Linked DNA regions of Kluyveromyces lactis. The protein of the gene in region 1 purifies or fractionates together with the protein of each later gene. This does not show direct contact. Links are inferred from orthologs where the notes say so. Each region holds a gene or a part of one and is shown on either strand. Other genes may lie near its edges.

Region 1 (3,178 bases):
TCCCATGGAAATGGGGGGATATTATAGCATCCTCTGAACATGGATTCTTTGGTGCAGAAATGCACGTATGGACTCATGATCAAGTAGATTATATTGCAATATCACAGTTGCTCTTCAATAAGGTCTACATATTCAAAGATGCTGGCAACTCTGCACTAGAGGTCTGGTTAATATTGGAACTTGACACATTAGTTGACCTTAACACTGTCAAGTCCTCTATTGAGTTTGGTAAGGGTGTTCACTTCTCACACTCCCGGAAAAGGCTATTTCTTTCTTCTCCGGGCAGTTTTAATGGCGCTGGTGCTATCTGGAGTGTCTCTATGTCAGAAATGAAGAGAACAGTTGAACTTTGGAGATCCAAACATTTGCTCATAACCGCTTTAAAACACCTTGAATTCGTTAACCCCGAGCAAAAGAAAAAGGGTTGGTCTAATTTCGGCTCCAATTTGGCTGAGTCCCCATTAGATGACTTATTAGTTTCCATTCCACAATTTGGCTACGGTGACTTACATGACCTTTCGCTAATCGGAGCATTATTGATTCATTAGAATACATCACAATTACGTGAAATTTTTCGATATATGTACGCTAATTATCAATATTTACAAGATACATATGCCATTATAACGTCTATCGTCCGAGATATTTCCTGGTTATTCGGTGGAATCGCTGGTTTTTTTCTTCTCAATTCTGCGTTGCAGCTTTTCCTGCCTTTCCCGTTTCCGTTGCTCCTTGAGAGCTTTTTTATCAACTCCATTATTAGTATTTACAAGATTTGGAGTTACTTTCATAATTATTCTTTGATTGATCAAACCTTCTTGTGTAATCTGTGATGAATATTCGCTGATTATTTCGTTTAGCTTCTCCAAAACCTCTTCCCTTCTTTTCATTTCCTTTTTAGAAATAGAAGATTCCTGCATCGCTTCTAATTCCTCCTCATCTATAGGTGACAAGTTAGAAGAGTCTTTATCATTAATGAAAAGAGCAATCTTGCTACCTTTTTCCAAATTAGAAACAATTTCACTACATTTCTGTTTTTTCAAATCATAATCCGATATTTGCCATGAAACCTTGATTGATTTCCAAGATGAATCCGCTTTCGAGTCTGGAGAGCGACGGCCAGTTTTCTTTATATTGACACCCAATTTTATAAGTTCTTCTTCTTTAATTTTAGATAGTTTGTCGGAATAATTCTTTAATGCCTGTCTTGTTGGCACTTCTTTGACAATGGGTAGACGAACATCTCCGGACGCAGCATTATCGATACTCACCATAGCTATCCCATTTATCTCAAGGTTAACGCCCTTCAAAAAGTTCCTAATATTGGCTTCTTCTAGCTTGCTAGTTTCTGGATTGATTGCCTTGATGTTACCCTTTGAATTTATTGCTAGTATTTCCTCTAGCACCGAGTTGGCAGCTGCCTGCTGTTTCTCTGTTCCACTATTCCATCTGAAAACAAGTTTTTTATTCCGTTGATCTTTATTACCGTTTCTATGGCGGTGTTTATCACGATTTTTATGTGGAGAATTGTTACCGCTCTTTCGATGTGTCGCTGGATTGTATGTTGGTAGGTTAAAAAGAAGATCCGATACAGCCCTTGATTCGTTCTGGAGAACCCGATTATTGCAAAATAAACGTATTGAAGAAATGCTGTATTTAAAAGTAGTTCTGAGCATCTGTATATAGTGGTACTTCATTTATTTCAGCCCAACGTACCACATTTCAAGGCAATTCTATCATCGGAGATGACTTGAACTTAATCAAATCAAAAAAATACAACTGTCTTTCATATTAAGATTTTGAGATATTCTGACAGAGAAGGGAAAGCGTTGATATCTGTCACGTGATCATTTTTACTAATATGTTGCTGGTTTTGCCTAGAGACTGACAGCTGAATAGGTTCAAACAAAAGAGAACAATAGAATGAAAATAAAGTCGATGCGAAATATTAATGTATTAAACGATGCAGATGTGAATGTAAGGATAAACCTTTGAACTATATATGTACGACAAAATGATATATATGTCAAAATATACTAATTGTATCTGAAATTTTGAGCATTTCAAAGAATAGAAAGTGCAATAGATAAAAGTCACTTTGTAATTTTAAGGAAGTTATTTTCCTACTATGAAAGTCCTTGTATTACTATGGTACAGATGAAGGTAGTTTAGTCATATTTCATCAGTTTTCTTCCTCCGATTAAATATCTCTTTTCAAGTCCCCACAAAAAAAGAGTTTTCTTAGTTTAAGGAATTCCTTCTGATGAATTTAAAGTAAAATGAACGATTTACTTCCATGTTTAAATTATTTTGTTTGATTTTGGATTGATTCTGAAAAAAGTTCCGAACGCGAATCTGTTTAGCTCCTTTATAATTCAACACCCATAACCATGGCTAACAATGCCATTCTGACAAACAAACCATATCTCATTTGTCTGAAGTAAGCTGCACGATGATCGTAGTCAACCTCTTCACGAATCTCATTAACACGAGGTAGTGGGTGCATGACCACCATCTGTTGTTTAGCATGAGACAAGATCTTATTGTCAACAATGTAAGTGTCCTTGAGCTTCAAGTAATCTTCCTCGGTTTCGAACCTTTCTTGTTGCACTCTTGTACAGTACAACACATCGGATTTGGAAATGATTTCAGGTGTTAGTGTTTCACTTTCAATACCTAATAAGCCAGAATCTTGCAATTCTTTACGCAAGGCATTAGGCAACCTCAATTCCTTAGGAGCGATCAAGTTAATTCTAACTTGGTAATGTTGTAGCAAACGACACAAGGAGTGAACTGGTCTACCGAACTTCAAGTCACCCATAAAGGTAACAGTGATACCGTTGACAGTACCCAATTCTTCACGAATAGTGAATAGATCCAAGAAGGCTTGAGTTGGATGTTCACGAGAACCGTTACCACCGTTGATGATAGGAACAGGTGAGTACTTGGCAGCAATGTGGGCAGACATTTCGTCTGGATGTCTCAAGACAATTGCATCAGAGTAACAGGCTAATGTTCTGATGGTATCTTGCAATGTTTCACCCTTCTTAACAGAAGATGCAGAAGTGTTAATGTTGACAGTTCTACCACCTAAACGTTCCATAGCAGCAATGAATGAAGATGATGTACGGGTTGATGGTTCGTAGAACATTGTAGTCAAAACACGGCTCTTCATGAC
Region 2 (2,709 bases), about 630 kb from region 1:
TGGATGATAAGGTTCACGCCGAGGTGTTATGGTGGGGGAATCCCTTGCCGGATGTATTTGTCAAGAAACCGGTTGATTTAGTGCTAGCTGCGGACTGTGTGTACTTAGAAGCTGCTTTCCCATTATTGGAAAAAACACTGTTAGAATTAACTGATGGGGAGAATGTGCCAATTATTCTAATGGCATACAAGAAAAGGCGTAAAGCGGACAAACATTTCTTCCAAAAGATCAAGAAGAACTTTAAAATTGTAGAGATACGAGATTTTATTAACTTCGATAAATATTTGAAACAGAGAACTCATTTGTTTCAGCTTATGAGGGAGAAATAAAAAAATAGTAGTAGGGTGACAACTGACGTTTGTCAAATGCAAAGACACCCCATTTAGTTTGATCTTTTATGCTTTTTGTGATGCTCATGAAAGTACTTTCAATTCGTGAATTAACTATGAGTAACTTTATAGTTATAGTGACTTATATATACATGAAATTTTTATACAATAATGACAGTAAAACTCAGAGTTCTGACGGGAATAGTGTTCATTGGTTGTGTTTAATTGTGGAAGATCATAGTTGAATTTCCTCAACATCTTGATCAATAGGTTTTTGTTCTTCTTCGGTCTCGTTTGTCCAGGAAGCAGAAGGACTACTTGCTCTGGCAGCCATCAACTCAGCTTGCTGTAAGGCCTTTCTCTTCCATGTGTCAATGACCTTTTGTTCCTTAGCAATTCCGTATTCTATTGAAGTGGTATGGAAGACTGAACCGAACATTTCGGCTTCTTCTTGAGCAACTTGATCTTGAATTTCTTGTTGTATTCTTAGACGGTAGAACTCGAATCTAGCTTGATCATATGCATCAATGAGTTCTTTTTTCTCTCCTGATTTTAATAGGAAAAGCGTCCTTTGTACAACTGATTCGCCATCCAATGGCTTGCCTAGTTGTTGGATATGAGACCAGTCATATTCTTGAGTCTCTAGGGTATTCTCAACAAGAATCTTAGGTCTTGAAAGTTCCCATGGATGTTGCTGGAAGAACAATTTTCTCAATTTATCCTCGATATATACTAATTTTGGGGACTGATATAGCTTCGATGCACCATCTTTCTTTTCCAAAGAATTTGGTCTAGTTTTGTATAATCCTGAAGAATTGGCCTTCCAATTGCTGTAATCAGGTAGTGCAGTTCTAGATTTACCGTTCATAGGATGTGTCAGTTGTGGGGTTCTAGCAAACTTCTTTGTTGGTGGTACCTTCGCTATAACATTGTACCAAGCTGGAGTCTTCTTCAAAATACCAGACTTCAAATAGGCGGATGTACGTTCTAGTACATTAACGGCTTCTTGCTGAACCTTCATTTTATATCTGACGTTTATATGGCCCGTTTACTCTATACTATCTCAGTAAACTCGCAGGTTCAAGCAATCGATCCAATACTTGTTGTCCTGGAGCTGTTCATACAGCATATTTGTGAACTTTTCAACTTTTCACTATAATTTCATTTTGGATCGTCGATCAGATTTTTCAAATTTTTCTAAGTAGAAGCATTCAATTTTTAGATCACGTGAAGAGTAAACATTTTTCACCAAAATTAAAGATCGAAGAGCTAAGTGTATGGGGAGCGTAAGTTCCTTTATTCTTTTCAATACAGTGGAATGATAACTGATGAACCTTAGGTTTCATCTCGTTCCTGTTTTGAAAGGTTCAGAGTAGATATTTTCTTCGGCAGAATATTCACGGTCACTAGCTTTTCTGAAAAACATGTCTGCCCTATTCAATTTTAAATCATTGTTACAAGTTATACTATTGTTCATATGTTCGTGCACATATATTCATGCACAAAGACCATCGCTCCTTGATCGTTATAAGGACAGCGGTATACTAGGAGTATTTTGGAAGTTTGCGAGAATTGGGGAAAGAGCTAGTCCTTATGTGTCTTTAGCTTGCATTGCCATGGCAGTTTCGCAATTCAACAGTTGATAAACCCAAGGGAAAAGATAAAGATAAGTCACAATTGCTATAGGTGAAAGCTCTCATTAGCAAGTTTGACCGGCTCTGAGGTCTATAGAATTATATTTTAAGTATAAAATTAGTTTAATCTATTATCGGGCGGCTATTGGATTCGTTTGCGGGCTTGTCTCTTTGCATCAAATAATTAAGAATTAATATGTACTCTTTGAATCTGACTTTGAGTTTCAAAATTCTACAACAAACAAAGAAGTTGAAAAGTGCAACATATTTTAATACTCTAAGCTATTAGTAAAGGAGAACGATTGCGTAAGTTTTCGGTTTACTAATTATTTATGGCATATTTGATCCACTCTATTTAAACTCGTACACTTCGTTTTGGCCATGAGCCAATACTGCCGCGCGTTTAGATCCTACGACTCTCTCTAGAGAAAGACCGTCCATCTTACTATATATGCATCTGACAGTTGAAATGTTGATATCACAGTTGCCTAAAAATACGTTCTTACCAATATTGCGAACAACTTCAGAATAGAATTCAGGATTTCCCGGAGGCTTGTAGAAAATTACACTCTTGACGTTTTTTATTTCGTACCTTCTAAAGTGGTGCAATCTTTCTGTGTATAACAAGACCTTCACCTTTCCGTGTTGGAATCTTGCTCTATTGGATGTCAATTGTTTCTGGTTAGAGTACTCGTTGATTTCTCCGAATATGATTGTAGTTTTTTCTTTCAAATAGTTTCTAACAC
Region 3 (3,319 bases), on another chromosome or scaffold:
AAGTCAAAGAAAAAATCAACAACGAATTGCCGGATCAGATTAGAGTTTGGGACATTTCCCGTGTCAACAAGGCATTCGACTGTCGGAAAATGTGTAGCTCTAGATGGTACGAGTATCTGTTACCAACTTATTCACTGATTGGCCCAAAACCGTCTACTTATTTATACAACGAGATTGAAGCTAGCAAGAAGGAAATACCGAATGTTATCCAAGATGATGTAGAAAGTGCACAATTCTGGGAAGCATTCTCTACTGAGGCTGAATCTAAGTTTACCAAGGAGGAATTGGAAGAGATTGCAGCTTTTGTCATGCCGAAAGATTCTTTTGATGAAAACAATGAAACTTATCAAAAGAGCAAAGCATTCAAGAAACTCGAAGCAGAACACAAGAGAGCCTACAGAATTTCAAAAGAACGTTTAGATAGATTCAGAAGTGCATTAAAACAATACGAGGGTACTTTTAACTTCCATAATTTCACCTTGGGGAAAGATTTCAACGATCCGAGCGCCAAGAGATTCATGAAGCAAATCACAGTCTCAGAACCGTTTGTTATTGGTGAAGCTAAGACGGAATGGGTATCGATCAAAATCCACGGTCAATCGTTTATGTTACATCAAATTCGTAAGATGATATCTATGGCAACTTTGATCACAAGATGTTTCAGTCCATTGGAAAGAATTAGGCAGGCATACGGTCAAGAAAAAATCAATATTCCAAAAGCCCCTGCTTTAGGTTTATTATTGGAAGCCCCGGTTTATGATGGTTACAACACTAGATTACAAGAATTCGGATATGATCCGATTGACTTCAGTAAATATCAAAGCGAAATGGATACGTTCAAGATGAAACATATCTACGATAAAATTTACCTTGAAGAAGTCAATGAAAACGTCTTCAACGCCTTTTTTTCGTACATCGACACCTTCAACCCTTCATATAATATTAGCCAAGAACAACAGCAGCTGAAGGGGCAAGAACTACAGCAACCCTCTCAAGCAGTGGAACTTGTTACCGAAGATTTGGAACAAAAGGCTCCATCAGATCCTACTCCATCCGACGAAAAGGGCAAAAAACCACAAAGGCCAATCTTTGATTTCCTCACAGCAAGAGGTATCCAACTACAGGATTAAGATCTTCTGTCCGACACCATTTATAGCATTGCGTGTTTCGTTCTTCCCTTTAATAGATATACTTCCATAGTTCTTAGTGTTTTCACGTGACACGTATATTTTATTTTCTCTTAAGCTTTAATGATTTCAATATCTGAAAAATTTTCGAAATTTGAACTACTTCAGTAGCAGGCAGACTTCAAGTGACATAGATAAAGAATAACAGAACTACGTGAAATAATCCACTTTAATAAGTCAATTTGTGTTGGTTTTAAGAATAATTACAGAAGTGTGATTTAGTAAAAAAGAAGCTATATTAGTGAGACGGATTTCACTTCTTTTTAGAGATATCCGGACCCGTAAGATATATTTCGATCATGTTGAGAATACATACCAGACAGTTCTCCTGCAGTGCTGCAGTAGAGGCTGCAGCTAAGAAGAAAGCCCAAGGGTTCGCTAAGGCTCAATCAGGAACTAAGGCAGCAGCCAAAAGAATTACTCCTGGTTCCATGTATAAGAGATGGCAACCAGCTGTTGCAACGGCTAATTTACATAAAAATGCAACTTTTGTCGATCTGCCCATGTTTAATCCTAATAACATCAGTGCCGCAGATGTCCATTCTTTCTCAGAGCAGCAATTACAATTCTTGTATCGTCTGGGTTCATTCAAGCAAAATCAATTCAATGAATTGTTCACACGTCCAATATCACTAGTTAGAGATTCCACCACTAGAAAATTGTACGAAGCCTTACGGAAGTCAGAAAACAAAAAGCTTGTTCTAACAGGTGAACCAGGTGTGGGTAAGTCTACTCTACTGGCCCAGCTACATGCTCACGCACTAGAAAACAAGGGACTTGTGTTAACTGTTTCCAACTCCGAACTTCTTACAAATGGTAGAAATGACTTCTTCTTGGATGAAGACAGATACATTCAACCAATGTACATCAAGAACTTATTAACCAAATTTGTCAAATCCAACAAAAAAGAATTATTGCAATCCATTAAACTCTCCAAAGACTATAAATTAGTTCACTCTGGGGGTAAAGACCTATCTGTGAAGAGAAATGTGAATTTATCTGCAGGTAAATCCACGTTATACGATTTACTAAGTGTCAAGGCACCATCTCGTCACCGTGGAGCCGTTTTCGATGCATTCATTAAAGAATTAACTAACCAAACTGATCATCCGGTCTATTTCACTGTTGATAACTTCTCCCATCTTTTGACTACACCATTCACAGCATATAAAGACACAAGCAACAAAAATATTCATATTTTAAAATTCCAGGTTGGTCAATCTATTTTTGATTTAGTCTCTGGCGATTTGCAATTCGCTGCTAAGGACAGCTGTGTTGTTTTGGCTACTTCGGGTTTGGATAGAACCAATAGAACGTTATCAATTGGTTTGCAAAAGCTTCCTCACGATCCATATTTGACCAGATACCACTATGAACAAATTTTGGCCGAAAAGTTACTAAAGGGTAAAGTACAGGAGTTCGAAGTTACCAAACTTAATAAAGATGAAGTTGCCAAATTGATGGAGTTCTACCAAAAGGCGGGTATCGTACTTGACAAAGATTTACAGAACAAAACCTTCGAACAGCTTACCGAAGAAAAGTACTTCTTAAGTGGTAATGGTAATCCAAGGGAATTGCTCAAGAGTATTACACTATATCCATTCTAATTGTACATATTATATATTACAAAAAAACCCATGTAAATACAGGAAAGAAATATAATATGAGCACATATGCTCGTGTATATGTTATGCTTTTAACTTGACGCAAGATTCTTAAATCTTCTGTCTTTTTGTGTCTGGCTCGTCATCAGACCAATTATCATCGTCATCGTCTACATATTTTGGTTGATCTTGCGACTGCTCTGGTTCGGTTGAATGTTGCTGCGACAGCGACGATCTCGCAGAAGCCTGATGGTTGAATTGTTTTTGTGCATTTTTCAGTCCTTGTTCACGTTCTTTCCAGCGAGATCTCATTTCATCTACCACTTGTTCTAGATCATCCAATGAAACAGAATCACCGATACTTTCCAAGACTTTTTGAACGACTGATACGTGATTACCATTGAGTTTATCGTCTCTGAACCTAAGTAGTTTCCATGCACCTGATTCCTGATCTTTGGAACATTCTACAATTCTTCCGTTCAATGGCTCCTCCATGGCCTTGAGCTCATTCCATTGTTTGTCGTCGAT

Evidence for each region.
Region 2: the proteins of AIM23 (region 1) and RSM25 purify together in Saccharomyces cerevisiae (affinity purification with mass spectrometry; 3 studies listed by BioGRID). This does not show direct contact. The link is inferred for Kluyveromyces lactis from reciprocal best matches to the Saccharomyces cerevisiae genes AIM23 and RSM25.
Region 3: the proteins of AIM23 (region 1) and RSM23 purify together in Saccharomyces cerevisiae (affinity purification with mass spectrometry; 3 studies listed by BioGRID). This does not show direct contact. The link is inferred for Kluyveromyces lactis from reciprocal best matches to the Saccharomyces cerevisiae genes AIM23 and RSM23.

The regions. Positions count from the first base shown.
Region 1 is NC_006041.1:1,376,618-1,379,795, reverse strand, and holds AIM23 (Aim23p), read right to left. Parts: upstream 1,698-3,178; coding exon 654-1,697; downstream 1-653. Other genes in the region: KLLA0_E15401g (uncharacterized protein), read left to right, coding at 1-548; URA2 (bifunctional carbamoylphosphate synthetase/aspartate transcarbamylase), read right to left, coding at 2,369-3,178.
Region 2 is NC_006041.1:743,786-746,494, reverse strand, and holds RSM25 (mitochondrial 37S ribosomal protein mS23), read right to left. Parts: upstream 1,351-2,709; coding exon 565-1,350; downstream 1-564. Other genes in the region: EFM6 (putative protein-lysine N-methyltransferase), read left to right, coding at 1-329; KSH1 (Ksh1p), read left to right, coding at 1,754-1,972; rRNA-binding ribosome biosynthesis protein UTP25, read right to left, coding at 2,315-2,709. UniProt on the Saccharomyces cerevisiae protein: Component of the mitochondrial ribosome (mitoribosome), a dedicated translation machinery responsible for the synthesis of mitochondrial genome-encoded proteins, including at least some of the essential transmembrane subunits of the mitochondrial respiratory chain.
Region 3 is NC_006038.1:197,325-200,643, reverse strand, and holds RSM23 (mitochondrial 37S ribosomal protein mS29), read left to right. Parts: upstream 1-1,486; coding exon 1,487-2,794; downstream 2,795-3,319. Other genes in the region: pseudouridine synthase PUS1, read left to right, coding at 1-1,130; CEG1 (mRNA guanylyltransferase), read right to left, coding at 2,903-3,319.